Lepisosteus oculatus: one gene and its partners. The main gene of each other region encodes a partner of the protein of the gene in region 2 in a complex. Links are inferred from orthologs where the notes say so. Each region holds a gene or a part of one and is shown on either strand. Other genes may lie near its edges.

Region 1 (6,924 bases), on a different chromosome or scaffold from region 2:
CCTGCTGCTCAGGCTCAAGCACACTTCCCTGCGCTTGACGCGAACGCGGGACGTGGGCCCACAATCCACTGCTCCACAGTCCTGGCCATCCCCCTCCCCTTACAGAGCCTTGAATTCGCACACCCCCCCTCCCCGCCGGCCGGACTCACAGTCAGGGCAGCAGCCGTTGAAGGACATCCTGCAGATGCCACAGTTCTCGTCATTGGCGACCCACAGCCAGGAGGCGACGCCATTCCACTGCTTTATCTTCACCTTCAGCCCCCGCTCCATGGCGCTCTCTGCAGGACACAAGGCACCACTACAGCTGGGTGGGCACTACAGCTCAACAGCTGTCCTGCTGCAGAAGCAGATGGCTCCACAGGCTGCTGCACTGTGCAGGTTAGCTGGGCTGCTCTGCTCCCTCACACAGCAGAGCTTTAAAGAGCTGCACTACTACAAATTGCACTGCCCATGAACCAGAAAGGCAAGATCACATTAATTTTGTGCCAATCTATCCCTGGAAGATCCAGAGACGAGAGCCTGCAGCTCCTAACACCTGTAGTGGATCTGCAGGCTGTGCAGTGAAAGTCTCCGGTTTCCCTGCTGCTTCAGTGCAGGTGGGGCAGCCGACTGTAAAGCTCCATCCACAGGTCTCGCTTGTGAGCTCAAATCTCAGCACATGCTAACGACTAGCACCTCACCAGAAGGATAGGAACGACGCTGTGACAAAGGCTAAACAGCACAAAATAAAGCTTACCCAGTTAATCTAATTAGACAGCACGTACTGTAGCTAGGATATATGTGACCTGGCACAGGAAGGGATTTTAAAGCTGAGTTTACAATGATAGACTTTAAAGCATTTCCTCTGCAGCCTACGCCTGTAGAAAGTATATTAAATTCAGCATCGGCTTGTGAACGGGACATACTGTGAATACGCCTCACTCTTCACCCCTTCATCAGAAACCGCGGCGTTAAATCTGCCCTGCGGACACAATAACGAAACACTAACATTAATGACTAATTAACAGACGTTACTCTAAACGTCTGACCGATGTTGTTGTCACGTGTCTCAAGAAATGGCCGTTTGGCTTCTGTCAAAGTGAGATCGAGCTCAGTTGCAGAAGCTGCCCGGAGAACCGAAGCGGGACCTGGCTCCGGCCCTGAGCTCCTTTCCGACCTCGGGGGCGACGGAGCCCCTCAGCCCGCTCTCCTAGTGCAGAAGCGCCGTCCACTTCTGTCCCTGCGAACGGATGAACTGGTCGGGGCGACACATTATTATTTAGACCGCTCCGTCTGCTACACAGTGTATCTTAACTGTCCAATAACACAAGAAACTTCACTGTTCAGACTTGACTATGTTACGCACATCATCTCAGGCAAAAGCGTCCGCTAGGCAGCTATATCAAATGAGAGAATAGTTAAAAACTGAACACCGCACAGTACCTGCACGACTCCCGTAACCCCTCTCAATTGATCAGGCCTGAACAGACCGCAACTCTTTCCGTTGATCCTCAACTCTGCGATCGTCTAACGCGACTTTGACCACATTTAAAAAGCTTGTCGTCGGAATACCGCCGCCTGGAGGCCTGGCGTGACGTTTACAGTGAAACACGAGACAGCGGCAGGAGTGGAAGCTAATTTGAAGTCCAATTGGAAGTAAAACAGAGACCAGCAGCCACTGCTAGTAGAGTAGTAGTAGTGGAGGAGTTTATATTCGTGGTGGTCATTCAGGACATACACAGTACAACAGACAACACCACCTACCTAGATGTACACCTACCACACAATGCAGGCAGTACATCACACACATAATAAATAATAACAACAGGAACAATAAATATGTTATGGAGAACAATAAATATGTAGTAGTGGAAAAAAACATGGTAGACCATGCAGAAAGTGCAGATAAGTGCATTGAGTCTGAGGCCCTGCAGTGAGCTGCTGTTGAGGATGCACACTGCAGTGGGATAGAAGCTGTTCCTGAGTCTAGTGGTCCTTGCTTTAGCAGCGGCACCGCTGGCCAGAGCGCAGGGGCCGGGATGGGTGGGATCCTGGATGAGGGATTGGGCTTCACTGTGACAGCAGACGGTGTGAATCCCACCGATTGATGGTCAGTCACATCCTGTGATACCCTGTGCCGTTGCCACAAGCCTCTGTAGTGGGTCTCTGTGATGCGCAGACTTCTCCCACCTCCTCTTCTTTCCTGAAGGGATGGTGGGAGTGTGGAACACGCTGATGCCCTGGTTTCTTAAAAAAAACAAACTGGATCAATTAACTACCAGACGCACTAGATGGGCTCCTCCACAGCTTGTTACTGTTCTTACAGTCTAACTGGCCTTTGTGCCCTTTTGTAGCGACATACACACAACACATCACAACACAGGACGCCACATCACCACACACAACACACACACAATACATCACAACACACACAACACACCGCATCACCACACATCACAACACAGGAACACACATCACAACACAGGACACCACATCACCACACACACAACACACACAATACAAGACACCGTATCACCACACATCACAACACAGGACAACACACACAACACAGAGCAACACTCGACAACATATCACAACACAGGACAACACATCACCACACATCATAACACATCTCAACACAGGACAACACATCGCCACACATCACAACACATCACAACACAGGTCAACAGGCGAACAAGACACAGAGAGAAGATACAGCTCTTGGGATCACACCACAGAGCACAGATTACAAAACAAATCCTTATCATGTGAAACAGCGACATGTATGAAATACTGAGCTTTTGTTGGACATTTGAAAAGAGATAGAATTGAGTAAATATAATAACTTATTTTAAAGAGTCCTAATTGATGTTTTTGAGTAAACATAAGTCCGTTATGATGCCCGTGCTCAAAGTGAGGACGAAGCAGGCTGAGTTTTCCACTGTGGAGTCTCAATATTGTATTTTCTGAACTGCGGAGGAATGTGGCAGGCAGCAGCAGGAGTGTGCTGTGTGCCCCAGCAGAGTGATCTGCAGCTTGTTGCTCTCTGGACTAGAGAGCATTCTGCCTAGAGCAGATACTGATGGGCGCCAGGGGGACCGAGACGCTCTGACGAAATATTCCACATCTCCTAAGCATGAATAGGGTCAAACGCCTCTCAGTCACTTAATTGTGTCAATGTACTGAGTTTGATGGCTGTGTTTGGAGTAATTGCCATGTCTGTGTTCTTTTAACTTCATTTGCTGCTTGCGGATTATTCCAGTGTACCTTATTATTGTATCCTCCACTGCAGCAGTCCTGTCTCTGTCAGCCTCCCTCACTCTCAGCCCTCTCTCGCACTAATAATAATAATAATAATTAATAATATAGTGCTTTTCTGGACACTCCACTCAAAGCACTTAAGAGGTAATGGGGACTCCCCTCCACCAGCACCAGTGTGCAGCCCCACCTGGATGATGCGACGGCAGCCATAGTGCTCCAGAACGCTCACCACACACCAGCTCTCAGTGGGGAGGAGAACAGTGTAATGAGGCCAATTCACAGATGGGGATTATTAGGGGGCCATGATTGGTAAGGGCCAATGGGAAATTTGGCCAGGACGCCGGGGTTACACCCCTACTCTTTTCAAGAAATGCCCTTGGATTTTTAATGACCACAGAGAGTCAGGACCTCGGTTTTACATCTCGTCCAAAGTATGTGTTGTATTGCATTGCAACCACCTGTGAACACTGCTAATATTGTCTTGTTTTTTTTAAATATGTCCGTTATGGACTGGAGCGCTGCCGGTCTCTAACAGGGAATACAGCACATACAGTACAGACTCCGAAAACTACAGCTCCCAGCAGGCTAAGCCATTCCACTGAGTGCGCAGGCGTCAACCCCGCCCTGCATGACGTCTGTGTCCGACGCCAGCCGCAGCGTCTTAAAAGGCGGCCATTGTGTTTTCTCCTCACCACTTCGTGCTCGGGTATCAGCGGGGGCGAGTTGCAGAGTAGGGATAGTGCGTGCGAGTTCGTTTGTCTCTATTGATAGGCTTAGTTCGGCGACTCGAAATGGTCGATAAGATGGATATGTCCTTGGACGACATCATCAAACAGAACCGGCAGCAGCGGGGCGGTGGCGGGGCCCGTGGCGGCAGGGGAGGCCGGGGCCGGGGAGCGCCCGGCGGGGGCCGAGGCGCCGGGGCCGGCCGGCTCGGTGGCGGAGGCGGCGGCGGCGGCTTTGGGGGTCGCGGCGGAGCAGGCCCCGTGCGGACCCGACAGAGCCTGAGCAGAGGCAGAAGCAGACCCACGCCGTACAGCAGGGTAGGAGAAAAGAAAGAGATGGGGAGAGAGAAAGAGGAAAAATGGAAAAGCGTGGCGCCCGAAAATGCCCGGGTCTGCGGAGCTTGTGCGTTTAATATCCTAACGTGCTAATAGAGCTGTTACTCACTGGAGTGTCTCTGGAGAAACAAAAATGGCTATATTTATTGCTAGATGTCCAATTTACCCGATTCACTTTCCTTTTTAAGGAAGAAAATAATTAAAATGCCTAATGTTTTCCTTTCTCCCCCAACCTCTTTAACCTTTCGTGTTTAACCTAGTTGAAAAGCGGGCGTTATCAGGAGACATGTTTGGTTTTTTTTTTTCGGGCTGCTATGCCGCCCGGGAGCGGAGAGCTCAAGTCTAAATTTGTTCGAGTGTCTAGAAAGAGCAAAACGCCATTTTTAACGGCCACGAAGACGCGGTGCAGCCGCCGGCGAGGACGGGAGGCCGGCGGCGGCGGAGGAGGGAGCGGAGCGCTGCGGAATGAATGAGCCGGCTTTGTGTGCGCCCGGCCGGGCTGTCCGGCCAGGAGGCGGCCCCCCGGAGCTCCGGGCTCCAGCCCCCCGCCGAGCAGCGCTGGCAGAGGCGGGGGAGGCTGTGGAAGGACACTGATCGGCCGGAGTTAGCCGCCGACTACACTGCGGTGGCCGTGCACCCGCAAGGGGTCTCCGCTTAGCTGATCAAGACAAAATGGCGCAGCTACAAAATGGACGCTCTCTGCAGGCAGGGCTCCGAGGCCTCGGACCGCAGCTGCAGCTGCCCTGCGGCGACTCTTCCACACGGGGACTCTGTTCCACTAGAGAGCCGCCTTTCTGCAGAAACACGATCGCGGGGGATCCACGGACTTGATCCTGCGGCGGGGCGGCGGACTCTCCGGGCCTCAGGACCGCAGGCGGAGGACAGGCTCGGCGAGGGGGGTGGAGAGGCGCCGCTGCACGGATTGGCCCCCTTTTCAACACCTGCGGCTGGAGTCTGAGGGACCCTCGGCCGGGGCGGCGGCGGGCTGGGACCTGCCCCCGGCGGGCGGGTTACCGGGACACTCGGTTTCAGAGGCGGGAGGTCGGATTGGCAAGGGGGCAGTGAAGGGGTAGGACCCGGCGCTGAGCCGACGGCGAGCACCTCCGGTGTGCTGGTGCCTTTTCCGGCCTTGTTCCCTTTTAAAGCTGTGATCAGTGCGCACCTGCACTGTAACCTTCCCGTTTCTCCAGGGTAGCGCAGTTTCAGCCATTGCTCCTGAGTCTAGTGTAGCTGCCTCGTTAGGTTTTAAACAGCATTGAATGCATTTCTTGAGCAGAATGTTCATTTTACCCACAAGGCTCTGTTGGGGGGGGTTATGTGGCTTCTCTTTTGGGGGGTGCACCTAGTGTTTGACCTTTGGGGGGGGTTCACAGTGATACTTTTATTTGGATCAGCTCCCGGAGGCAAGTTGTCTGCGGCCAGCTGGTGCTCCTGTCTGGTCTTGGGGGCTTTCCTGGTGGGGCAGGCGGAACCAGCCCAGATTGCTGCCTGACCGGGCTCCCCTCCTGGTGTGGGCCACGGTGGTGCGACTGGGTTCCTCTGGCTGCTGTTCCTCTCGGGAGCCGGCGTTAGCTGTGGGGTGTCTGCTGGCCTTCCTCTCGGAGAGCGGGGTCCTGGCGGCCTGGCGCAGCGTGCCGACTGGGAAGTCAGCAGGTGCGTTCTGTTTGCTCTCTTGCAGCCCAAGCAGCTCCCGGACAAGTGGCAGCACGACCTGTTCGACAGTGGCTTCGGCGCGGGCGGCGGCGGCGCCGGCGTGGAGACCGGAGGCAAGCTCCTCGTCTCCAACCTGGACTTCGGGGTCTCGGATGCAGATATCCAGGTGAGTGCTGACTCTGCGCGGGGGTGTCCTGGTTTGGACTGCGTGTAGCTCGCGTAGTGGCTGCATGTGGCTCTGGGATAACTGCAGTTCCTAAACTGGGTCTCGCCTCTCATTCAGGAGAAACACAGCACTGTAGCCCTTTCACTCAACAGCTCCGAGGCAGGGGTGTGCAGTCCTGGTCCTGGAGGGTTTGTTCAGAGCCCCCCAACCTCAAGGGGTCACAGAAGTTACACTGGTCCTATTGTGCCAGTGATTGAACTGTGCTGGGTTCATAACCTGCAGTTGCTGAGGTGACCCTTTTCCAAGGTGAAGCACATTTCCATGAGGGGGGGGTCCAGGCTCTCACCCGCAGGCTTCGGTGTGATTTCCAGAGGCAGGTGTTCCTGTTGCAGTGAGAGTGCTAGCATACAGATTAAGACACCTGCTCCTAGCCTTTTGGTTTGCTTTTGAGAAGCTAGATCGGTGCCTTTTCCTGTGTCTATCATTAGCCTACAGCTGTTGTGCCCATGGGGTAGCAGGGTGGAGTTGAGCCTGCGCGCCTCTCGTGTGGTGGGTGGGTTGGGCTTGTTGGCGAGCGCACAGACCTGATGGTGCCCTGTGTTCCAGGAGCTGTTCGCGGAGTTTGGCACGCTGAAGAAGGCTGCGGTGCATTATGACCGGTCGGGTCGCAGCCTGGGCACGGCGGACGTGCACTTCGAGAGGAAGGCCGATGCGCTCAAGGCCATGAAGCAGTATAATGGCGTTCCACTGGATGGTGAGTCTGTCCCCTGTTGTCCTCATTTTGGAATTAGGATTTTCGCCTGC
Region 2 (7,706 bases):
GTTCATCATCTTCGTCATCTTCCTCCTCGTCATCCTCCTCCTCCTCCTCTTCTTCATCCGACAGCTCTGACTCCGAGACAGAGGACAAAAGAGGGTGAGAAATTTGTCCTTTCCATTTCTCTCTCTCTCAATCTGTGGTGCATTTCTGTCTCGCACTACTTTTCCTCTGCTGTGAAGGCAGTTTCACCATTTCTTTTTTCTACAGTTCTGGGCGAAATTCAAAGTATTACCAGCTTGAAAACCGATTGAATTTATATTGCAGGCAGCTCTGCTCGATGTGTGGCTATTCAGGACCCTCGCCCGGTGTTGTAAAATATGATGTAAGGCTGGTGAAAATACCTGCCGTCTCACTTCTGCCCTCCCCCCCCCCCTCCCCCCAGGTCCGAGGGCGAAGCGGCCAACCAGAAGAAGGCAGGGAAGGCCTCGGGCTCCTCCTCTTCCTCCTCCGACTCCTCCTCCTCCTCCTCCGACTCATCCTCCTCCGGGAGCGAGGACTCTCCCGCTGCAGACTCTGCGAAGTGGTAATGAGCAGGAGCAGGGGGGTGTCTGTTACTGCCAGTGTCGAACCAGTAGTGTTTCTGCCCAGGAGCACTGTCATTTGAGAAAATGTGTGCTCTATATCATTTTTTGCATCTTTTGAATTATGACAAAAAATACTTGCAATCAACACACGGCGAGCGAAACTTTGTTCCTGTGGCGGTTTATTGAAATATACAGGCTCTTTATTGCGTGTATCGTTAATATCCGTATAAAATTTTCTTCAACATCCAAAGCACATACTCCACCCATCGTAAGCAGTTGACCTTGTACTGCCCCGATATTGATATCTTGATTTTGATCAATTGATATTCTTGATTTTTGGAGTCCCGTGTAGTAGTTCTTTCTGCTTTTTATTGTCTGTGCTTTCCTTCCTTACTGAGGGGAGAGTCCGGTGTTGGGTTTTTCAGACAGAATCCCTCTTCAGTGGGTTTTTGTCCGTGCAATCCGACGCCTGTTAAAAGAGGGGGTTTCCTGCCGGTATCATTTGGAGAGAGAGCGTCCGAGTGCCCTCAGACCAGCTCCGCCGTCTTCTCGCTGGCCTGGCACTAGGGCTGGGCAATACATATCGAAAACGTATCGATACCGATGTTAAGAATCTCTCGCCGACCTTATTTTGCTTATGTCGGGATGAAAGCTTTCCCCACTGTGCGGTTTTCATCAGCGGTCCCCAGTCGTCAGATCCAGTCACAGGCTTCTGCCTTGTCCAACCCGCGTTCTTCATTCAAAACCCAAAGCAGCGAGCCGGGCGTGAGACGACGGGAGCGCTCGTGCTGAACCCCCGTCGGGCAGGGAGGACTCGAGCACGAAGGAAGACGAGCTGGTAGCTCAGACAGATGCAGTGTCGATCGTTAGGTCGTGTGTTGGCTTCAGCGAACCGGATGCCGAACAGAGAGAAGTCGGATGTGAGCTCTTGTCGGGAGAACCGTTTCTGCGCCCACAAGTAACACGAGCAACTGGTTTCATCGCTTTAAACGCAGCCATGTCGTGGGATACGAATACGGCGCATGGCCAAAAAACGAGAGAGACTGTCAAGCGCACTCATGGCCGAAGGGATTCCTCTCTTAACACGAGCGTTTACTCATGCCACTCGATGCGCGAAAGATTCACGCAGGCGTGACGCGATAACGAACGCCATTACACACTGCACAGCGAAGGACATGCTTCCCATAGCTGCAGTGGTTTGAAAGACTCGTTCAAGCCCCCGATGCGTAGAGATGCGTTGTGCCCTCGAGAACACATTTTTCTCAAACTGTGGTGCCTGACGTTTACTAAGTTTCATAGTTTCGCATATTTAAAATGGGGTCTTCCAGCATATCATATCGTATTTCAAGGGTTTCAGGAAAAATGCTCGTTCCATTTATCGTTATCGGGGTAACTGTGGGAAATTATCGCGATATGGATTTGTTCACGGTGGTTCTCTCCCTCTCTCCCCCAGTCCTCCCCGGCCCAGGGAGCCGGCCGATTCCCTGCGGGACTCCCGCTCTCCCAGCTACTCCCCGCCGCTCCGACAGCGCAGGCCGGCGCCGTCCTCACCCCCCCCTCACAGGTGAGCGACCCGGTCCCGCAGGGGGCCCTCGGGGGGGACACAAACACGCTCTCGCCGGCGCTGGACTGTGGCCGGGCCCGCTCGGGGCCTCCTGGCGATGGGCTGTTTCTGCGTGCGTCCGGATCAGTCGGATGTGGTGACTCGGACACGTCTGGGGTCGCTCCGTTCCGGCAGGGTGGGAGAAGCGTGCCTTTGTGGCCCCTGGCCTGGGGGGAGGGGGGGGTGGTATCGTAGGCCCCCGTAAACCCCGCAGCTGCACCTTTCCTTTAGCGCTGGGGGTGGAGGTAGGGGAGAGCGTACCCCTCGCTCGGTGTGAGGGGCAGCCGCCTGGACAAGCGGATCTTCTCCCGTCATGCCGGGGGGAGGCACAGAAGCAGCCCGGGCTTGGCGGGACAGAGTCCGGGCCCCAGCGTGTGCTTGTCAGCCAGGGCTGTCCTGTTGTGTGTGCGTCTGCAGGATGAACCCTGACTCTCTCTCTCTCTCTCTCTCTCTCTCTCTCTCTCTCTCTCTCTCTCTCTCTCTCCTGTCTGCCCGCAGGGGTCAGAGGTCAGACAGCCGGTCACCCAGCAAGAAACGCAGGAAATAAGGTGCCGGGCGGGAAGGTAAGCAATTCCTGTGGTTGGCCAGGCGGAGTCCCACTCGGAAAGCGTTTTTTTCCCCGGTTCTCGCCAGTCGTACCCCTGGCAGGAGGGCCGTTCCGATCGGAAAGGGGGCGCACCGTCCCCACGTCTTCTCACCGAGCCGTGAGATGAGCGGGGGAGGAGGGGGGAGGACAGCGCGGGAGACTGGCCTGTCGGGTTTGACCAGAGCCTTTTCTTTCTTGTTCGCAGGTGTCGACACCCGGACTCCCTCTCCCAACTCCCCCCCGCCCCCCCCAACTCTGTGGTGGTACAGCCCAGGACCTAGTCTGCAAGATGCTCGTGGGCCGTCCCACTCTGGGTTGCTCGGGGGGGGGGGGAGGCGAGGGGAGTGGTACAAGGACACTGTTCCAAGATGGAGGACTGAGATGCTGACACTGGAGTTTGGGAAAGACGACGAAAGGAAGAGAAGAGCGAGAGAGAGAGAGACCCACCAGGAGGAGAGGCCGATATCCGATTGTGACTTTTGTGCTGTTTTTGGAGGACGGAAATGGTTCCCTTTTCGTTTTGTTTGTTCTGGGGAAGGTGGAGAGAGCGCGGTGTGCAGGCGGCGTTGACGCGGGCTTCGGATGTGCGTGCCCACGCCGTACTGGGTCTTGATCTGTGAATTATTTTTGGGGGGGAGGGGGGGCGCAGGGCAAGATGACACTGTTTGTGAATACAAAACATTCTTTAAAAGCTGTTTTTTTTGTGAAATAATAAAATCAAAAAAGAAAAAAAAATCCGGCAGTTCTTTGGAGTTTTCTGTTTCTGGCGTGTGTGTGTTTTCAGTCTTGTTACACCAGGAGGACAGCTGGTCCGGTGGTTCTGGTCCAGTCCTGTTACACCAGGAGGACAGCTGGTCCGGTGGTTCTGGTCCAGTCCTGTTACACCAGGAGGACAGCTGGTCCGGTGGTTCTGGTCCAGTCTTGTTACAGTGGAAGGACCGCTGGTCCGGTGGTTCAGGTCCAGTCTTCTAGTCCAGGAGGACAGCTGGTCCAGTGGTTCAGGTCCAGTCTTGTTACAGTGGAAGGACAGCTGGTCCGGTTTTGGACCCGTCTTTTTACAGTGGGAGGACAGCTAGTCCAGTGGTTCTGGTCCAGTCTTGTTACACCAGGAGGACAGCTGGTCCAGTGGTTCAGGTCCAGTCTTTTTAGACCAGGAGGACAGCTGGTCCAGTGGTTCAGGTCCAGTCTTTTTAGACCAGGAGGACAGCTGGTCCAGTGGTTCTGGTCCAGTCTTGTTAGACCAGAAGGACAGCTGGTCCGGTGGTTCTGGTCCAGTCTTGTTACAGTGGGAGGACAGCTGGTCCGGTGGTTCTGGTCCAGTCTTGTTACACCGGGAGGACAGCTGGTCCGGTGGTTTAGATTCAGTGGTTCAGAAGCACAAATGGGTTTGTACAGTATGTATATCTACAGAGCATACGAATCAGTTATGTTAATGGATGTATGTTTTTAAAAACAACAGCAACTAAAGAGATAGAGAGGAGAACATTTTGTAGTTTATTAATCCCAGGATCTGAACTATGTCTCGAGAGAAGCCAGGATATTGGCTTCAACAATATAACTGGGTAGCTTTTTCCACTCTCCCACCCCCCTTTGTGTAAAAAAAAGTATTGAAATTGACAGACAATAACCAAAAACATTTGTGTCAATTGATCATTACAGATTCATCACCTCAGCATTACGAATCTTGGAGATCCTGTATCATGGAAAATGTCAAATAAAGATACATCACCAGATCACATCTATATCGTTATATAAACAAAATGAATTCATGCACCTATATCCTGTCTGTTCAAAAAATGTGACTGCGCCAACCGCAACAAGGGTTGTGCCAATCTCTTGCAGCTACAGGGAGAGTAGTTTCTTATCCTGTGCATGCATGCGTGTTTTTTTTTGTTAGCGGAAAGGGAACAACGGTCGCGTTTCAAAGCCGTGAAACTACAATTCCCGTCATGCCACGAAAGCGGGGGGGGGGGTCCTGTGACGTCACTGCCCTGCGCCGCCCGTGTCCCTTTCCGAGAGGGAGAGTGTTGGGCTGTGCAGACCTGGGGCTGACGAGTCTGGCTTGTGTGCAAGTTTCACTTTTCTCGCCAGATTGGACGCCGCGTCTAAAACAAGAGGAAACATGGGACCGGTCGAGGTGATGGCCCGTCCTTTTCGTGTCTCTGTGTGTATGAAGCGCGCTCTCACGTTGCGTGTGTCGCAGGATTTCGGGGGTGCCTTTGTGTAAAAGCCCCGGGGGATGTAGCACAGGACATTTTCAGTTCTAGAAAAAAATATTTCCAGTATGTAATCCGGTCTCTGGGGCTTTTACACAAACAGGGGTTACTGTCTGAGCCTTTGTGTTCAGAAGTAACGGCGCGACAGCAGCCGGGGGCTCCGAGCTGGAGGTGCCGTGTTTTATCCGAGTTTCTGTTTTCCACCCGTGTCTCCGGACATAAATCCACAGCCTCTCCCCAAAACACCAACACACAGCCCCGTTGATGGAGGGTGGTCGACTTCTAGGGTCGTGACAAACCCCACGGGAGAGTGTCCCGTGTTTTATAACCCACAGTGTGGCAGCTCCCCTCTGAACGTGTCCACGGTGTAGCGCCCTTCTCTTTCCTCTTTTCTTACTGTGGTCCACAACGTTAATAGTCAGATTAGACCAGAGCACTCCTGTGCTCTTCCTGACTTTATTTCAGTCCTGATCCAGGAGGAACACTGTGTCTCCTGGTCTTCACTCCAGCCTGGGCTCTTACTGACTTTTACTGCTAAGGTCAAACAGACTGCTGAAGTCAAACTCCCCTATTACACTACCTCTTTTGCTGGTTTCAGTCTTGAATTTGGGTTTGTGAAGTCTGGTGTTCCTCAGGGCTCGATACTGGGTCCCCTCCTCTTCAGCATTTACCTGTTCCCACTTGGTCAGCTATTGAGATCACACGGTGTAAACAATCACTGGTACGCCGATGATGCATAAATCTGTATCCATGATAAACCTGGCACTGAAGTGACTGTCTCTGTACTGTCTAATTGCATCTCTGACATAACATCCTGGATTTTCTTAATTGAAACAGTGACAGACCTGTAGTCATGCTTCTCTGCACCTCCCTTCAACAGTGTACTGTGCAGCCAGTGCAGTGACCCTAACTGCAGGAAGGCCCTTGAATTTGTGCGCTGGAATTTCAGTCTAAACCGGAGAACGTGGTGGTGATATTTGATCCAGGCTTGGCGTTTGACCCACACGTGCAACATATTGTAAAACAAATCTCATTCTTCCACCAAGTATTGCCAGGCTACGGTCCAATGTTCCTGATAACTGTTGCTGAAAACTTGGCCAGGACTTTTTTTTATGTTTCTTTCAAATTGATCACTGCAACGCCTTCCTTGCTGGGGTATCTAAACCCACACTGAACAGACTCCAGTCTGTTCAGAATTCGACAGGCCAGATCCTGTCCAGGTCTAGTGCAAGTGATCCCATTACTCCTGTCCTGGAGTCCCTGCACTGGCTTCCTATCGGGTTTCGTGTCCATCTCAAAATCCCCATGCTCACCTTTGAGGCTCTGCATGGCTTGGCACCTCAGTAGCTGTCCGACTTATTTTCCTGCTCGCCACCTCACAACCAGACCATTTGCTCGTCTAACTCTGGTCTCCTGTCCTCAAGCTTGTCTGTTATTGAGAGGGGCTCACTGTCTGTTCCCACAGTCTGCAGATGACAGGGCCTTCTCGAAGCAGATTATTCTTATCTTTATTATATTGTCACAATGTTGTGTGATGTTTTGGTGTTATACTGTGTCATTGTGCATTGTTGTGACACAGGGTTGTGTTGATGTGTTGAGTTACACTGTCATTGTGCTGTGCTGTGACACAGGGTTGTGTTGTTGTGTTGCGTCACACCGTGTCTTTCAGCTGTGTTGTGATACAGGGTTCTGTTGGATCACACTGTGTCTTTCAGCTGTGTTGTGATACAGGGTTGTGTTGATGTGCCGAGTTACATTGTAATGGTGCTGTTACACAGGGGTGTTTTTGAGCAGTGTTGTGACAGAGGGCTGTGTTGCTGTGTTGTGTTACACTGTCATTGTGCTGTGTTGCATCACACTGTGTTTTTGAGCAGTGTTGTGACACAGGGCTGTGTTGCTGTGTTGTGTTACACTGTCATTGTGCTGTGTTGTGTCACACTGTGTTTTTGAGCAGTGTTGTGACACAGGGCTGTGTTGCTGTGTTGTGTTACACTGTCATTGTGCTGTGCTGTGACCCAGGGTTGTGTTGTTGTGTTGCAGCTCCTGCACATGTCCGTCTTCTCTCAGAGCTTCTCGCCTTGCAGTCGGTTCCTCGCGGCTGGAAACAACTACGGCGAGATCGCCATCTTCAGGTGAGACAGGGAACTGCGGTGCCCTCTGCTCCCGCTGTCTCCTAGTCTCTGCTCCTCTCACTAACCTGACCTGCTCCCACTGTGTCTCCTAGTCTCTGCTCCTCTCTCACAAACCCCTCTCGCTCCCACTGTGTCTCCTAGTCTCTGCTCCTCTCTCACAAACCCCTCTCGCTCCCGCTGTGTCTCCTAGTCTCTGTTCCTCTCTCGCTAACCTGACCCACTCCCGCTGTGTCTCCTAGTCTCTGCGCCTCTCAATACCTGACCTGCTCCCACTGTCTCCTAGTCTCTGCGCCTCTCACTAACCTGACCTGCGCCCACTGTGTCTCCTAGTCTCTGCGCCTCTCACTAACCTGACCTGCTCCCACTGTGTCTCCTAGTCTCTGCGCCTCTCACTAACCTGTCCCGCTCCCACTGTGTCTCCTAGTCTCTGCTCCTCTCTCGCTAACCCCTCTCTCTCCTGCTGTGTCTCCTAGTCTCTGCGCCTCTCGCTAACCTGACCTGCTCCCACTGTGTCTCCTAGTCTCTGCGCCTCTCACTAACCTGACCTGCTCCCACTGTGTCTCCTAGTCTCTGCTCCTCTCACTAACCTGACCTGCTCCCACTGTGTCTCCTAGTCTCTGCGCCTCTCGCTAACCCCCCATGCTCCC
Region 3 (7,407 bases), about 43 Mb from region 2:
GCTCAATGGTTAGATTACAAGCATTACCATCACTCATTTTTAAAATACCTTTCTTCTTCCTTTTCTGCTGGTAAACTTATCAATAACTTCCATCAAAATATGAGGACACTGTAAAACTGTTCTAAATTGCTAACAATGTACATACATTTAGTTTTCCTCCTTTCACCATTGATTGGAGGCAATTATTCACAAGTTTCATCAAATAAAAAGAACAGCTCCAGAACAGCTAGAGAGTGCTAACAGCTAGAGACTGTGTGCATACAAAGGCAAGTGTCCACATGTGTCCCTCAGGCCTAGCTGGTACATGTTCACTGCTGATGCCTTTGCTTTTCAGAACACAGAAGTTTTGTTTTACAATTTCTATATCTACATAAACATCGCAAATATTCAAAGAAATAAACTGCAGAAATCCAATTTTGTACTCTAATTCTTTGTAAGTCTGACTGCAGTTCAATTATTAGGCAGTCACAGATGATATAAAGTCTTTCAATAGAAAATGCTTTGTAATTAATTTAATCAGTGAGTTACAGACTTCTTTGTTTTTGTGCCTCAGTGCTCAGACATTTTTAAGTGGTAGGCCAAAGCGAGCAAATGTAGCCAATACATCTTTACAGTTTCTTTGTACCTAGGAGCAATAGCTAAAGTAACAGAATGTATGGATAATTAAATTACTAAACAGATCTCATGACATAGAAAATCAAATCTAGGGTGATTTCTGAATAATCCATCCACTTTCTACCCACTTCTTCAGATTCAGGGTCATGGGGAAGCTGAAGCATATTCCAGTAAGCAACGGGCTTAAGGCAGGGTACACCCTGGACAGGACACCAGTCCATCATAAAGCAGACAGACAAACACACAGACACGCAGGCATTCTTACCAGGGCCAAGTTTCCCAGAAGCCAATTAGCCCAGCAGTATTACTTTAGGCTGTGAGAGGAAACTCACAAGGACACCATGAGAACATACAAACTCCATGCAGACAGCACCCCAGGTCTGGAATCAAACCCTGGGCTCCAGCACTGCAAGGAACCAATGCTTACCATTATACCACCATTTTATCAATAAATGAAAACTGAATAATTAGCACATATGCTTTCTTGTATTGGGCCATTCCATGTCAAATAAATCAAATTCACTGAAGTTTGTGCTCACATGTGTTTAGTGTAGTGGAAGAGTGAGGTCAGGTATGTAACAAGGTGAAATTAAAGTTAATTTGGGCCTAAATATTGTGGCCCTAGGCATGTGCCTAGTCTGCTGAACCTTAACCCAGCCTTGTTTCTAAAACTAGCCAAAGACTGAAAAGCCTGATTTTTGAGATTCTCAGTAGCATTATGAAGAGATTTTGGAACTAACAATTATCATTCATTACCATAATGTTCTGATCTGCAGTTTGGTGTAGTTTGTTTGCTTTTTCAAACTGGATTTCCCTAATAAAATGTAGTTGTAAATGGTCAATTTATGATTTATTTGATATAAATGCAATCACAATTATTTCAGGGATCACATTTCAGCAGAAACACCAAAAAGTGTAAAAAATAAACCTGACAATGTCACAGAATCACTCAGAATCTTTATCACATTGTAGCCTGCTTTCGTCAACCTCAAAAGCTAAGCAAGGCTGGGCCCAGGCAGTGCTGGATAGAGCCAGGCTGTGTGAACAATAAGTGATGCTATTACACCAGTAGGCAAATGTTAAACCAATACCCCAGTGCGGTAACATTATGCTGCAGGAGGTGTATTCCGTTGGATAAGACATCACACTGAGGTCTTGAGTACTTAAGTTAAATATCCCAAACTTTGTTAATAGGATTTTTAAACTTGGTGCCCTAGTTAAAATCTGCTTTGTGCATTCACAATGTGGTCTACCTACATTTCCCCTTCAATTAAAAAGGTGAAGTAATTTTTCACCTCTTTACCTAAAATTCTCTGTTGTGAGGCTGCCAGCACAAAAATGCTTCCACATGACACACTGGTGGATGATGCACTTCAGTGCAAGAAGTGGGGCTTCTCCTATATCTGAGATCCTTTGAAATCCTTGGGAATAAAAAAGAAAGTGCAAGACAAATGCAAGCATTTAATTAACAACTGGAGCTGCGTCATTCTGTGTCAAGTCAATCAGACCTTCCCAAGTCATGATTTTAATTTCACTAATATTTGTGTAGTAGAAGACAGAGGTTGAATATTTAGACCAAATCTTTTAGCTCATGTGGACGACATGACGCAGTGGTAGGTTTGTAGAAATACCTTTTATCTGAGAAATCCAGCGTGAACAAGCAAACATAAACTATACCAAACTCACAGTACAGGGAACCTGGTTTCAATTCCTGACCTGGGGTGCTATCTGTGTGGAATTTGTATGTTCACCCCATATTCACATAGGTTACCTCTGAGTGCTCTGGTTTCCTCCCACAGTTAACAAATATACTGGTAAGTTAACTGGCTTCTGAGAAAATTTGCACTATTGGGAGTGTGTTTGTGTATGCTCTGCACTGGACTGGTGTCCTGTCCAGGGTGTATCTTGCCTTTTTCCTGCTGCTTGCCAGGATCGAATCCCCTGCGACCCTGAATTGGAAGAAGAGGTTAGAGAATGGATGAATTTAAGCATATTGATGAACATCTACTGGAACACTTTTCTTGTGAAAGAGCACAGCCATACTTACAATACATACAGTATAGCCTTGGAGAGATTTTGAATATCTAAACATTTTTGCCTTAAAAATTTAGAATACATATATCTATACATAAGCTTCTAAAATCACTTGTCTGGCTAGATACATCTTCTGTAGAACTGAAAAATAATTATAACTTCACCATTTCATGTAGCTATGATGTCCAAATGTAAAAAATATATCCAGTTGTCAGTTCCTAAATTTTAAGTCACTGTTTGGCTGAAAACTGAAAGATGAGCTCACAATCTAACAAACTAAGATGCGACAATTTAACCTTATTTGACCTTGTTACAAACCTGACTTCACACTTCCACTACACTAAAAACATGTGAACACAAACTTCAGTGAATTTGATTTATTCAACATGGAATAGCCCAATGCAGGAAAGCAGCAAGCTAGGTAGCATGGTCTTGAGAGTCAGTTTCCTTACTATAAAACCCATACGTTCTTGCTAATATTTTAAAATAAAACCTTAAGCTAATGTTTCTACTTTCTTTTGCTATTTAGATTAAGTATGTCTGCTTGAACCTTCAACAACAGGCTCATGTATTAGCATTTTTGAATTGATAAAGGGAATACTTGTATTTCTATGCCCACTTTCTATGACAGGCTGTCCCACTGAAGAGATTACATAAACCCCCGCCAAGAAATATCTGCGTTTTACATTAAAACGTTAATCATCAAGAGAAAATAATCTCCTTCTTAAAGTTTTCATAGATTATTGAAAAAACTAAGAGTTTCAGCATTGCCAAACTCATCTAAATTCTCACTAACTACGAGAACAAAGATCTACGCGGAATATAACGGAAGATAAATAATTTGTTGCAGAGCTTGTAGTAACTATTTTACCTACCACATATAATGTAGCATTTTACAAATACTGGGTAAATAAGTGCCAGCTTTTCCACTGTTTCCTTCAGCAGTTTCCAAAACTCACCGAATACTTCTAAGAGTAAAACAATCATTACTACTTTCTACGAAAAGTCGCAAAGCACGAAGAAAACAAACGATGCACATCTATAGCTTCATTCAGGACATTACAGCAAAAATCAGACCTGCAAGAAAAACTATGTTTAATCTTAAAACATAAAACATATTGCACAGTTTCAAGTTTTCAGCGTTTAACTTAATTTAACGAGGAGTATTCCGCATAAAACAACAATTCTAATTTACTGGACGATCTTACTGTGTATTGAAAAGGATTAAGAACTTGTTACTTTCAATTTCTTCCATTATTATGAACAAAGCTCCTACAAATACTCGAATAGCCACATTAAACAATCTTAGCACCGGGCTACTGGTGGTTTGTGTAAATTGCTACCTAAATTGTTTCTCATTGTCATTTAAGAAAAACAAGAACACTAGCAGACTGCAGACAGAGAAATAAACCTTATCCGTGTTTACCTGCTTCCGGGACTTTTTTAAAAAGATACAAAAGCTCCTTCGGGATGTCAGTCTGTTAAATGTAGCTAAATTTGAGCGGTGAGAATGGCGAATAAAGAGCGAACACAGTGCTCACTGACTGTGGAGGTCTTTACCCGGGGCTTCCATGTCTGTTTACCAGGCTGCATTCTGGGAGACATACGTCACTCTTTCCGCACGCTTTGCACGTCGGCGCTTAGCGAGGCTTCAGCACCTCCAAGAGGCCTACGCAACTGATGCCATTGTGGCTCTGAGCAAGCCTCGGCGTTGGCATACGAAAATACAGGAAACTTGAGCCAACATGGCAGACAAACAAGAAGTATTTACGGAAACGACAAACGATTTTAACCGCAAAGCGTTTTGGTCTTTCCAACCCCTTGACAAAGCGACGCAATCGGTCTCACAGGCGGAGACGGGTGCATACTGCTTATTTATCTCTTTTGTGAATTGGGTTGGTATAGCTTTTGCAGTCAATAAAGTTTCATTTGAAAACAAGTAAATTGTCGAAGTGATGGGTGCTGTTACTGATGGTAAGTTACTATGAGTACTGAATGTTTTATAATTCAATGTTCACTATTGAACACACGTGTTTTTTTTTAACTTTTTTGTAGCAATGGCATTACAGGCAATTGACTTAGGAATTCGCTTTTCGCGTCGCCTGCCTCTGTGGCTTTGGATAGTTAATCTGTTTTGTTTTCTCCGTTCCAGACGAGGTTATCCGGAAACGACTTCTGATTGACGGAGATGGAGCTGGTGACGATCGTCGCATCAATGTACTATTGAAAAGCTTTACCAAGTGGTGCAATTCTGGAGCCCCGGAGGAAGGGTAGCTAACTCGTTGACTCTAATACAGATCCATATACCAGTAGTTTATCTTCTTCAGAAACAAACACGTGGGGAACTGCTCAGAAGCCAACCCCGAGAGCTCTGTCATGGGTTTAAAACTGACCGTAGAGCTGTGTTGTTTTAGCTAGTAAAATTCCTAATGTCTTGATCGTACCGAATTCATATATCTTTAGCGTGTATATCTGTTGCTGTGTCCAGCACAAGGTACATCCCCATTCTACCTTCGTAGCGGTATCTTGTCAGATTAATAAGTCTACTATATGTCTTGGTTCTTTATCTGTATACAGGTTGTGGAAATACGTTTTTACATAATGTTTTGATGGTATTTCCTGGTGTTTGCTGTCTTATACTGTATCTTTCTTCCTGGGTTGCACTGTGAGGTTGCATTTCAGCACATATCTATGTGGATTCTCCTCAGCACAACACAGCTGTGAAGTAGTTGTTTATTTGTTCATTTTACTTGTGCTAGGAGTTCCCAGTCCTGGTCCTAGAGGGTCAATTCTATGAGTTTTCAGTCCAGCTGTGCTCTTAACTTCAGTCGTATCATTATTTGACTGGATTGGACCCGTTTTACAGCAGCTCTCCAGGAGCTGGTACTTTAAAGAGACCAGACACTCGTGCAAGACAGGGACTGGAAACCACCTGACATTGCAGCTGCAAGTGACATCAGGACGCTAACAGCTGATGCCATGCCTATGTGGTGAAAATGGGACAGTTGTTTCAACCGTGTAATTTGTGCACATAGTTGCATTTCCTTTTCTTCTTTTTTGAAAAATGCCTCAAATGAAAGCAATACAGTCTACTCAGTGATTAAATTTACATAAAAGAGCTGCACTTGTAGTGCATAAGACAATACAGAACCCCTAGATACTTTCTTCAGATTCATCAAAAACTGAAAACTCCAAATGGAGAGGTTTAATCATGGCATTTTCTTTATATTGATTAAACCCCTTGTTTTAAAGCATTTTCCCCTAAAATAGCACAATGTATTTGCTTACTATATGTGCCTGTTGCATGCGGTTAGGAAGGTTTTGTTCACATTAAAGGTGAAATGTCTGAAATGTGTGGCACGACAGTGCAATTTATTCTGGAGAAACAAGCACCTTGTGAACTGTTGGTAGAATGAGTCAGTGGTTTCACAAAAGGTCACTTCATTGTCTAGATCACATACTGGCACTTCAGTTGAAGCAGGAAGCAGGCTGGCAACATATCCTATTGTTTTCAAGGTGCACACAGGAAACAGTGAAATGTCTTTCTTTTTAGGTACACCCAGTTTCAGAGGATGCTAGGTACACTGGCACAGTGTGAATTCTCCATGGGGAAGACCCTGCTGGTTTATGATATGAACCTCCGGGAGATGGAAAACTATGAAAAAATATACACGGATATAGGTAATCTGAATCTGTCCTATTCTAGTCCTTTACACCTTGTGGCTGTTTGTTTCAGCTAGCATGCTTATGCTTAAATTTTTAGGCCACAGTTGTTTTTTTTCGTTGTGTGCAGCAGTTAGCTTTCTCAGTTCATTTTTGTATTTAAGTAGCTAATCTTTTATCCAATGTCTTATGCTACATGTACATATAAGTAAAGTTGTCTCATAAAAGGCAGAATGAAATACAGAATTAAATCACTTTTTATATATGCAGGCGCAAACGTAATGAAAATTGGCCTCCTTTTCTTTATAAAAGAGACCACGCATAGTTATGCGTCATCTGTATCTGTGGTCTCTCAGTCTTGTTCTTGAAAACGTTAATTCATCAAGTTTTGTAGATAACCATAAACATCTGGATGAAGACTTGAGAAACAATTGAACTGAGAGACTGTGGCAGGCATTTTGTTAAATTAAGCAATTTAGAGATCACCTGGAAGCTGCAACAAATATCTGGATATACACCGGCCCTCAAGGACCAGATATGGTTAATTGCACAAATTACTTGCTTAACCTTTAGAAATGGTGATTTATACCTTCACTTTAATATGGATAGGAACTCTCAAAGACTACACTTGATAGAGATGTGTAAGTTAAAGGGGAACTGCAGTGCTATTTTTATGTTTTGGGTTTAGAAAGAATCAGCATTAAAGAGTACATTTCAAACCATAAGATAAGTAAAACGTAAACAGTAACTTGTAAAACCTCCAATTTACGTCACAAAATATACGAGATTTCCAGGTATGCATAGTGCCATATTCTGCAATTTAGAACAAGCTAGCAAAATGTCTGGTGACATAGTACGGCCCTTTTATGTTGTAAACAAGCTTGCTTGTTTTTTTAATCCAATAGGAATATTGACTCTTGACTTTGAGATCCCATAGGAACAATTTTGCGATGAAATGTCTGCAGCACAATCTGTACTTATTCACTCATACATCGCAGTAGATTAGTCATTACGGTGGCTAGTGAGCAGGAAGGGAGGGAGCTCTTGCTCTCTCCCATGCTGAGACCAGAGATTTTCGACAACACGACGACTCGC
Region 4 (7,943 bases), on a different chromosome or scaffold from region 2:
CTGGAGATGACCAAGTCAATCAAGCAATGTCTTAGGGAAAATAAATGTTCTTGGCAACCTAGGAAAAGAATTGTTTGCACTTCCGTTAGCTTATTAATCAATCAAGTTTAACACTTTCTGATTTTTTTTACTTGACCTCCTATTAAGTTCAAGTGATCATATCTTCCAATCAATTTGAGTGACTGCGGTCAGGAAAAGCCCTGTCACCCCCAAGAACAGGAACGTAAGGCAGCCGCACCTCGTGGGTCTGATCCCTGGCTTTCTTCAGCCTCATGTGAGCCAGCCGGTTCAGCTTCTTCAGGGTCATGAAGTGGATGCACCCCATCATGCGCTTCTCTTCAATCTCTGCCGACTGCAAGACACAGGAGGAAAAGAAACAAATAGAAAATCAGCTCTTGTGGCTGTCAACAGCAGCTCCTGCCACTTCCTGCCTGGACGCATTGCGTAAGAGGGAACAGAGTAGGGAGGCCCAAAGTGTGATGCTTGGAAGCTGCAATTCTGAAGACTTTGCTTTCCACCACAATACCCCAGCATTGCAGAATTCAGCCCCGGCCAACTCCTGCTGCCACGCAGGTGGATCAATTAAGGCAGCAGCTCCCAGCCCTCTCCTGGGTGCCCACTGTCTCTTCTGGGGTTTGCAACACTCCTGCACTTCATCACAGACGAATCGCTCAAAGTGTCAGAGTGTGAGATGTCGCACTATGGCTCACATTGTCCTTGCTGCCACTGGTCTTCAGCTCGTTGATCTCAGCCATGAGTTTGGCCAGGTCCTGACAGGTCTGCTTGTACAGAGTGTAGTCCTGGTTGGTATCCCTGCTCTCCAGCTCCACCTCCTCATTGTACACTCTCACGTCCTGCAGCACAGCAAAATAACCAGCGATTAGGGCTCACGTGGAGAGTCGTAGGTTCAGGCCCCTGTGGCAGAAACCCCCCCCGGAAAAAGTAAGCAAGGCGCAACCTGATTACTCCAGTTCACTCAGCTGTTGTAAATGGGACTGAGTGGTTCAAGGCCGCTGACCCCATAAGAGACCATGGTAGGTCATGCGATTTATGGCTCACACCCACAATCACAGCCCAGCCTGCCGGCTGAGCCCTTCAGGAGGCACAGAGGGTGATTTGTACCACCGATAGTGCTCTTATGATCACAACTGTAAGTAATGCTTCAAAATAAAGACCCCAGCTGAAGCAGGAAGGACACACTAATGGGCAGGCACTCCTGGGATCAAAATGGCAGACTACATGCTACAGTGGGACACCACACTGTTGACCTAGTACAGGAAAGTCATATTGTAGCAAGATGCTCATTATAGCAGGGTTGCCTTTCTTGCACTGTAGCTGTAAAATCTATGATCAGACAATCTCAATCAATCCGCTGGTGTGTTCTCAGTCTCAGTGCCAAGTCCTTCTCTGACTGCTGATACAGCCCAGCCTGCTGGCCCAGAAGGCAGACTGCCATCTACTGCATCATGAGTGCCACTGCCATTTGATTCGACAGTTCCAGTAGCGACCCTCACCTGGTCCCCCTCTCCCCTATTGCGTTTTGATTCTGGGGTACCCTCATTGCGGATCACTTTGGGCTTCCTCTTCTTCAGGGTGTCGGCCGACATTTGCAGGCGATTCTAGGAGCGCTCCTGGTGAGAGGGTAGAAGAGGGGGTCAGCAAGGTATATGTAATGGACTGGCCGTAAGTCCCAGCTGAAGTAAGATGACCACAAAACTGAAAGCTCAGGCTTTATCTTACGAGGAACCTACACACACCTGCTACAGGACACTGCTGCGGTCACCTGCAGGGGAGGTCCTGACTACTTGATCATTAAAGAATCAATGGGACTGTTCAGAAGAGTAATGAAGGCTTCGCTCTTAATTTAACTGAACTCATTTCTCTCCCTCTAGTAGCAATGGGGCTACAAGCACATACTGTAGCGTAACTGGCTACTACACTTCAAAGGTCACAAAGTGGATCCCCATCTATAGCAAAATGGTTTCAATTCCTTTGAGTTAAATAAAACTATCCAATAAGTAATTTTTTGGCCTGAGATTTTTTAATTACTGACTTTAACAATTTAGTTAATGGCATGTATTAAGTCTTAAGCAGCCTGTTATTGTAAGACCTAAGGAATGTCTACAGAAATCCGATCCTTATTGGCTACAGTTACTTATCCTTCTTTAAGACACGTTAACAGCATGCTTAGCTAATTCAATTCACCAATTCCAGGCAAGTTCTTACAGGAAGAGCAGATGGAATTGTGCTGTTAAAACGCAAAGACGGCAGAAAGAGGTACACAGGAGGTCTCAAGCTGCACATATAAAAATCAACAGTGAGGACGATATAAGAGCAAGTGCCCTGTATCTTTCACTAGTTTAACACATTCCCAGTTGGTTTCAGAGTCCTGAACGTGCGAACTAGTGACCATTGTGAACATAGTTATAAAGAAAAAGTACAAATGGATTTAACAAGGACTTCAAAATATATATATTAGAAACGAGTTAAGCTTCGGTAGCTCACAGTACTGACATGTACAAACAACGGGACATCAAAGTAAAAATAAAAGGAGTATCGTTATAACTGATTTTGTTAATACTGCTAAAATCGCATCCACGACAGTTCACATAATCACCCGAGATGATCACCGTCTTGGCTTTCTGTTTTCAGGAACAACGCACATAACAACTCGCAAACATAAATTAATCTGCAAGTCGTTTTATAGATTTTATCTCCTGGGCAGGGAGTGTAAACAAGGTACAAAGGCTCTTCCTTAGCAGCAGCGATCAATTAAAATGCTTCGACTCACAAGTTACAATACGCGTACAGAAGAAAAAGCCGTTTGCTTATCGCAGACTTCAAACAGCCATACATCAATGCACCCACCAACCTTATTCACAAATTCGGCAACGAAAGGCTCTGTATTTTTTAAACAACTAAAAATAACATTTCATTCACTAAACACAACACTTACCCTAAACTCCCCCCCAAAAAAACATGGAGGACTTTAACTTTGACCTCTGACCCGGATGGGGATCCCGGGGCAGCGCAGTTACCTTTCCGGCCGAGAGGGGGCGGAAGAGAGAGATCAACAACATCAAGGCGTAGGTAGAGTTTACTTGAAAGGTAATGTGTGGTAAGTTTATTAACAACAGAATTTATACACGTGCTGTCAGTCTCATTCCCTTTTAGGAACACATTAGTAATAAAGTGAAGATAACTTTGCAATCGGAGTAAACCGAACTTTTAATCTACTTCTTGTATTCCTCTATAGTTCAAAGTACAGTTAGGGTTTAAATATGTTTTGCTCATTATATTTTAAATAATGCAGGGAACTTGAAATGGAGGCGAATAAACTGTCGTGAATTATCTTTTAGAAAAAGCACACGTAAATTTCATTTAATTATAGACCAACGTGCCGAGCTTGATAATGTAGAAAGAATGTGTTTTTTTTCTTACATACGCTGGCGAAATAATTAAAAATGATTGTAAATCTCAAGACAGCCAATAATAACATTATTATCCTTCGTTTTTGGATAGCCACTGATCCCTATTAAGCCCCAGGTCCGTGAAGTTGCCTCCCCACACACACGCACAAACGATGAAACCCACCGCATTCCTTAAAGAACGCAAGGAGAATCTTGTTGTTTTTTTCTGATTTATAAAATGAAAGAGCTACGAAGTATTGAGATGTACTAGTTAAAGGCTTTTTTAAAGAATATGCAGTTGCTCGCTAATGTTCGCTTTTTAAGGCTACACCTGCAACTCTTGAGGGTATGATATTGAAGACAAATTAAATTTTTCTGTTCACACAAACGCACAGAAGATACTGGTGTTAATGCAAAATCTACCGCTCCCCAACCGGGCAAACAGAAACACAATTGCAGAATTGTTACTCTCGCACCAGTAACAGCGCTTGAACTCGGCAGACGGGGTCACTGGAGGTCAAAGTCACCGTGCATGGTCACTTGATCACCCGAAAAACAAGGCGCTATATTTTGGGAACGAAAGCAGCACAAATGCAGCACTAATGAATGTTTCATCGATGTTTCATCGTTTGTGCTGTTTGTTGGGAGGGCAACTTAACGGAGCTGAAAAAGCTGAGTCTATCCTGCTGTAGTGACATGCAATAAGCACTCGTAAATAAACATCAGCACCCTTTACTGTGAATTAACGAAGACGGATGACAACAGGTTCTCAGAAGACAGCTCAGTATGCTTCCTCACATTCACTTCACAAGCAGGGGCAAGCGACTGGCAGGTCGTTTGTGCTGCAGGTGCCTGATGGCCGCGCGTGTCCTGAGGCTGGCCCTGGCTGGGCGGCCAGCGGCAGGGGCCTGGAGCCGCAGGGCGAGCAGAGGGAGCTCGCACCTCACCGCTCCGCGGGGCCGCACAGAGGCTCCGCAGGAGGAGGAGCGGCCTCACTTCTCCAGGTCCTCCATCGGGAGCTTCTTCCAGGAGAGGCCCCAGCTCAGGAACCCCTTTCTGCAGGACGCTCTGCTCCAGGGCTACCTGAGAAGACACCTCCCTGCTCAGGTGGGCCTGGTTTTACTTCTCCTTGACCACTTTATAGGCATAGACAGGAGAAAACCCTTATCCACAGACTTTCAAGACACCAGTCGACTGGTACTTCTGCTGCCTGTCTGACCTCATACACAGCCTGGCTCGAAACGTCTTTTCTCAAAACCTTGATGAGCTGTTAACATTCTGCTCCTCAAAGAAGTCGGTGGCAACGTCATTTTATTGCTGCTTAATAGATACCTGTACGTATTCTGGTATGTGCACTCACCTTATTTGACTTTTAAGACTTCATTGTGAGGTGACAAATTAGATATAGTGCAAAACGAAATCTGATCAGATGTCGTTAAAAATGTAACGAAGAAATAATTTTTGGAAGTAGACCCATATAGGAATGCAGTGTTATTGTTTTCCATGCCACTCGTGGTCTGTGAAACTACTCCAATCTCAATATGGAAGCTGGTTTGGATTAGCTTATGATATGCTTATGTTAAAACTGTCATGCTTGCTCCCACCGGAGCACGACAGGACGCGCTAGGATCAACACAGCAACCGACGGAGCCTCAACAAGACCTGTCAATCAGGCGATTGCCGTGACTACGAGCTCTGGTTAAAAATCTGTTCCACCCGTCTGTAGTTAATGACCACACTGCCCTCACTGGGATCTGTCAATATTAGACCAGTCTCTCTGCGCTCAGTCTTAGAGTTTCAGTTATTAGTTTTGGCATTCTCAGCTCTGCTTATACTTTCAGGTTTTTGGCATCTCTTGACTTTAATTTTGCTTTCGGATTCCCCTTATGCTTTGCCTCTTTATCTCTCAGCTACAACCTTACGTTCTAGACTGTTTATTTCTGCCTGCATGCTCATTATGCCACCCTGCTCTGCCTGCTTGCTGTCCACGCCAGCCTGCCTGCTCTGCCTGCTTTCGGGTTCTCCTGATGCCCCTGGGACACTACTTTCACTCAGGTAGGAATAGCGGCATTACAAGAACAGAATGGGCATGTGTAGTGTATGTGCGTTCCAGGCTGTGAGCGCGGTCGGGGCAGATCTGGAGCGGTTTGGGGAACGGATCTGCAGTGAAGTGGACGCTCTGGGCCGGCAGTGTGAGGAGACCCCCCCCCGCCTGCAACACTGTGATGCCTGGGGTCGGCGAGTTGATCGCATCCTCACCTGCCCCGCCTGGGGCCGCATGAAGGAGATCTCGGCCCAGGAGGGGCTGGTGGCTGCTGGCTACGAGAGGACTTTCCGTGACTGGAGGTAGGGTGACACACACATCTGGTGGTTTCTTGTGCCTGAGTTTTGGAATGGGCATTTGTTAGTTCTCCTCATATGGAGACTCCTAGCACAGTAGAAGGAAAGAAAATATGCAATCACAAATTCTAGTGTCAGGATCTCCTTCTCTGTTCCTGCTGTAAGTTCACAGCATAAACAGCAGGATCCGTTGCAACCCTGAACTGGATGACACAGTTAGCAAATAATAACCCTGTGATTTACAGTATGATCTTGTATTAATCATATGAAACAAAATTACACAGGTAATTAAATGCTTCTATCTTAATGCTAAGATTGTTAGGAATAAAATACAAGACATTGAAGCAACTCCATTGCTAATATCTCTTGTAATTTTGCATGCAATTAGAATGCAATTGGCATCACTGAAACAGCTAACGGAGACTGATGTTGATGAATATAACACTAGTGGATACATATCATTCTGAAGAGAACAGTGGAAAATTACTCACCACAGATTATACACCACAAAATATTTGTGGACCTCACGGAAACATTGCTTCTCGGAAATCATACAGTGCAGTGTCCAGATGTGTTACTACAAGGAAGTGAATTTAAAACTAAGAACAGGATGCAGTTTTTGACTGAGCAGTTTGTGGGAGTCTGGAACAAGTTATCCAGCATGTTATGAAAGATGATACTGAGCAGTCTTTCACAAAACAGCATTTTCAAGTAGACGAATTGAAGGCCTAAAATGTATATCCTGTATTACAAAAGTAGTGTCAAATTAGGTGGATGATACTGGTGTATATTTCCTTAGCCGTGTTTACCAGATGTCCAAACTATACCTCTGCTCTCCCTCTGCTGGACTCTACACCTGTCCTCTGGCTATGACTGATGGGGCAGCTAAAGTCATTGAGGTCAGTGAACTGCATCCTGTATCGTTTACGCTGAGGTGCCGACATCTTTGCAAACCCACAGGGGCTGCACCCCTTATAAAAAAGGTGACATAGCAAGTTCACATATAGTAATTCTGTATCAAGGTAATAATAATAATTTTTCTGGACACTGCACTCAAAGCACTTTACAGGTAATAGGGATCCCCTCCACCACCAGTGTGCAGCCCCACCTGGATGATGTGACAGCAGCCATAGTGCACCAGTACACTCCCCACACACCAGCTGTCAGTGCGGAGGAGAGCAGAGTGATGCAGCCAGTTCAGAGATGGGGACTATTAGGAGACCATGGCCAGGGGAGAACTTTGGCCAGGACACTGGGGTTAACACCTCTACTCTTTACAAGAAATACCTTGGGATTTTTAATGACCACAGAGAGTCAGGATCTCGGTTTTACATTTAATCCGAAATACGGCACCTTTTATTACAGTATAGTTGCCCCCCTATATTAGGGATTTAAGACCAACACAGACAGCAGGGTGAGCGCCCCCTACTGGCCAACACTGACACCTCTTCCAGCAGCAACCTCAGCTTTCCCAGGCGTCTCCCATCCAGGTACTGATCAGGCTCACACCTGCTGAGCTCCAGCAGTTGCCAGTTGTGAGTTGCAGGGTGGTATCGCTGCTGCGGACCAATCTGCTGCGTTTATCCTCCAGTCCCTGGGGAAGTCTGGACCCCTGGACAAAGCCTTCCAGCGGCTCACCTCTCGCGACCCTCAGCAGTTCTGGACCTCTGGCCAGTGGATGACAGAGCGGAAGGGGGGCTCTGACGTGGGTAAGGACCACTGACGCACTGTGCTTGACAGCTGCTGCACAGCTGGATGCTGACTGTGGTTTCTAAGCTGCTTTGCCTCCGGAGATGTACAGGTGGTCCAACGACGGCAATGTTCCTCCTGCAGTTACAGAGTAACAGAGATGGGCTTACCTGTGACGCATAGAAGATATTTGGCAATGTCATCATAGCGCCTTTTAAAGGGAAGATTCTGAAATGAAAATATGTTGGGGAATCCTTTCATTTTAGTTTTAAACAGATAAGCCAGGAACACAAACCACATTTATATTACTTACAGTGAAACTTCACTGAAAAATGCGGCGTTCATAATTTGCAAGACGTATCTTGCTCAAGGCTGCAACTGCTGTGTCCCATCTGGGATCTGGACATGTGACCTTCCAGCCCAGAGTATTGACCTCACCAAGAAGGCTAGTTGTAAGAGTAGGATTTAATTTGCCTTAGAGAATTTCTCTCTGCATCATGTATT

Evidence for each region.
Region 1: thoc6 (region 2) and alyref share a complex: the UniProt entries of both Homo sapiens proteins name them as parts of the transcription/export (TREX) complex. The link is inferred for Lepisosteus oculatus from reciprocal best matches to the Homo sapiens genes THOC6 and ALYREF.
Region 3: the proteins of thoc6 (region 2) and thoc7 are in contact, whole or in part, in a cryo-EM structure (PDB 7APK), measured with the Homo sapiens proteins. The link is inferred for Lepisosteus oculatus from reciprocal best matches to the Homo sapiens genes THOC6 and THOC7. Residues at the interface, in NP_001334633.1 of Homo sapiens: Asp229, Trp232, His245, Thr252, Gln268, Asp269, Gln284, Leu285, Ser286; in NP_079351.2 of Homo sapiens: Lys110, Arg113, Lys114, Gln117, Glu118, Ala121, Leu122, Val125.
Region 4: the proteins of thoc6 (region 2) and thoc5 are in contact, whole or in part, in a cryo-EM structure (PDB 7APK), measured with the Homo sapiens proteins. The link is inferred for Lepisosteus oculatus from reciprocal best matches to the Homo sapiens genes THOC6 and THOC5. Residues at the interface, in NP_001334633.1 of Homo sapiens: Val5, Pro6, Ala8, Val9, Pro10, Leu11, Gly12, Gln13, Val16, Phe17, Leu20, Gln21, Leu23, His24, Met25, Thr26, Phe28, Tyr45, Tyr80, Asp94, Glu125, Val126, Pro127, Glu128, Asn130, Gly146, Tyr170, His172, Glu188, Trp222; in NP_001002877.1 of Homo sapiens: Pro406, Gly407, Asp538, Ile539, Val540, Asp541, Ala542, Gly543, Leu544, Ser575, Ile576, Ser593, Asp596, Arg599, Glu602, Gly603, Asn606, Val607, Tyr609, Arg660, Phe662, Arg663, Gly664, Pro665, Ser666, Arg667.

The regions. Positions count from the first base shown.
Region 1 is NC_090704.1:47,020,589-47,027,512, forward strand, and holds the start of alyref (THO complex subunit 4), read left to right. Parts: upstream 1-3,906; 5' UTR 3,907-4,031; coding exon 4,032-4,283; intron 4,284-5,979; coding exon 5,980-6,120; intron 6,121-6,726; coding exon 6,727-6,874; intron 6,875-6,924. Other genes in the region: anapc11 (anaphase-promoting complex subunit 11), read right to left, coding at 150-270. UniProt on the Homo sapiens protein: Functions as an mRNA export adapter; component of the transcription/export (TREX) complex which is thought to couple mRNA transcription, processing and nuclear export, and specifically associates with spliced mRNA and not with unspliced pre-mRNA.
Region 2 is NC_090699.1:5,870,973-5,878,678, forward strand, and holds the start of thoc6 (THO complex subunit 6 homolog), read left to right. Parts: upstream 1-4,689; 5' UTR 4,690-4,833; coding exon 4,834-4,848; intron 4,849-6,967; coding exon 6,968-7,059; intron 7,060-7,706. Other genes in the region: srrm2 (serine/arginine repetitive matrix protein 2), read left to right, coding at 1-94, 381-521, 1,976-2,086, 2,624-2,672. UniProt on the Homo sapiens protein: Component of the THO subcomplex of the TREX complex which is thought to couple mRNA transcription, processing and nuclear export, and which specifically associates with spliced mRNA and not with unspliced pre-mRNA.
Region 3 is NC_090699.1:48,898,260-48,905,666, reverse strand, and holds the start of thoc7 (THO complex subunit 7 homolog), read left to right. Parts: upstream 1-4,400; 5' UTR 4,401-4,604; coding exon 4,605-4,623; intron 4,624-4,801; coding exon 4,802-4,919; intron 4,920-6,202; coding exon 6,203-6,330; intron 6,331-7,407. UniProt on the Homo sapiens protein: Component of the THO subcomplex of the TREX complex which is thought to couple mRNA transcription, processing and nuclear export, and which specifically associates with spliced mRNA and not with unspliced pre-mRNA.
Region 4 is NC_090717.1:14,292,237-14,300,179, forward strand, and holds the start of thoc5 (THO complex subunit 5 homolog), read right to left. Parts: upstream 3,012-7,943; 5' UTR 2,957-3,011; exon of another isoform or gene 2,873-2,956; intron 2,642-2,872; exon of another isoform or gene 2,618-2,641; intron 1,632-2,617; 5' UTR 1,608-1,631; coding exon 1,515-1,607; intron 855-1,514; coding exon 711-854; intron 353-710; coding exon 239-352; intron 1-238. Other genes in the region: acyl-CoA dehydrogenase family member 11-like, read left to right, coding at 4,266-4,517, 5,524-5,756, 6,550-6,649, 7,342-7,459. UniProt on the Homo sapiens protein: Component of the THO subcomplex of the TREX complex which is thought to couple mRNA transcription, processing and nuclear export, and which specifically associates with spliced mRNA and not with unspliced pre-mRNA.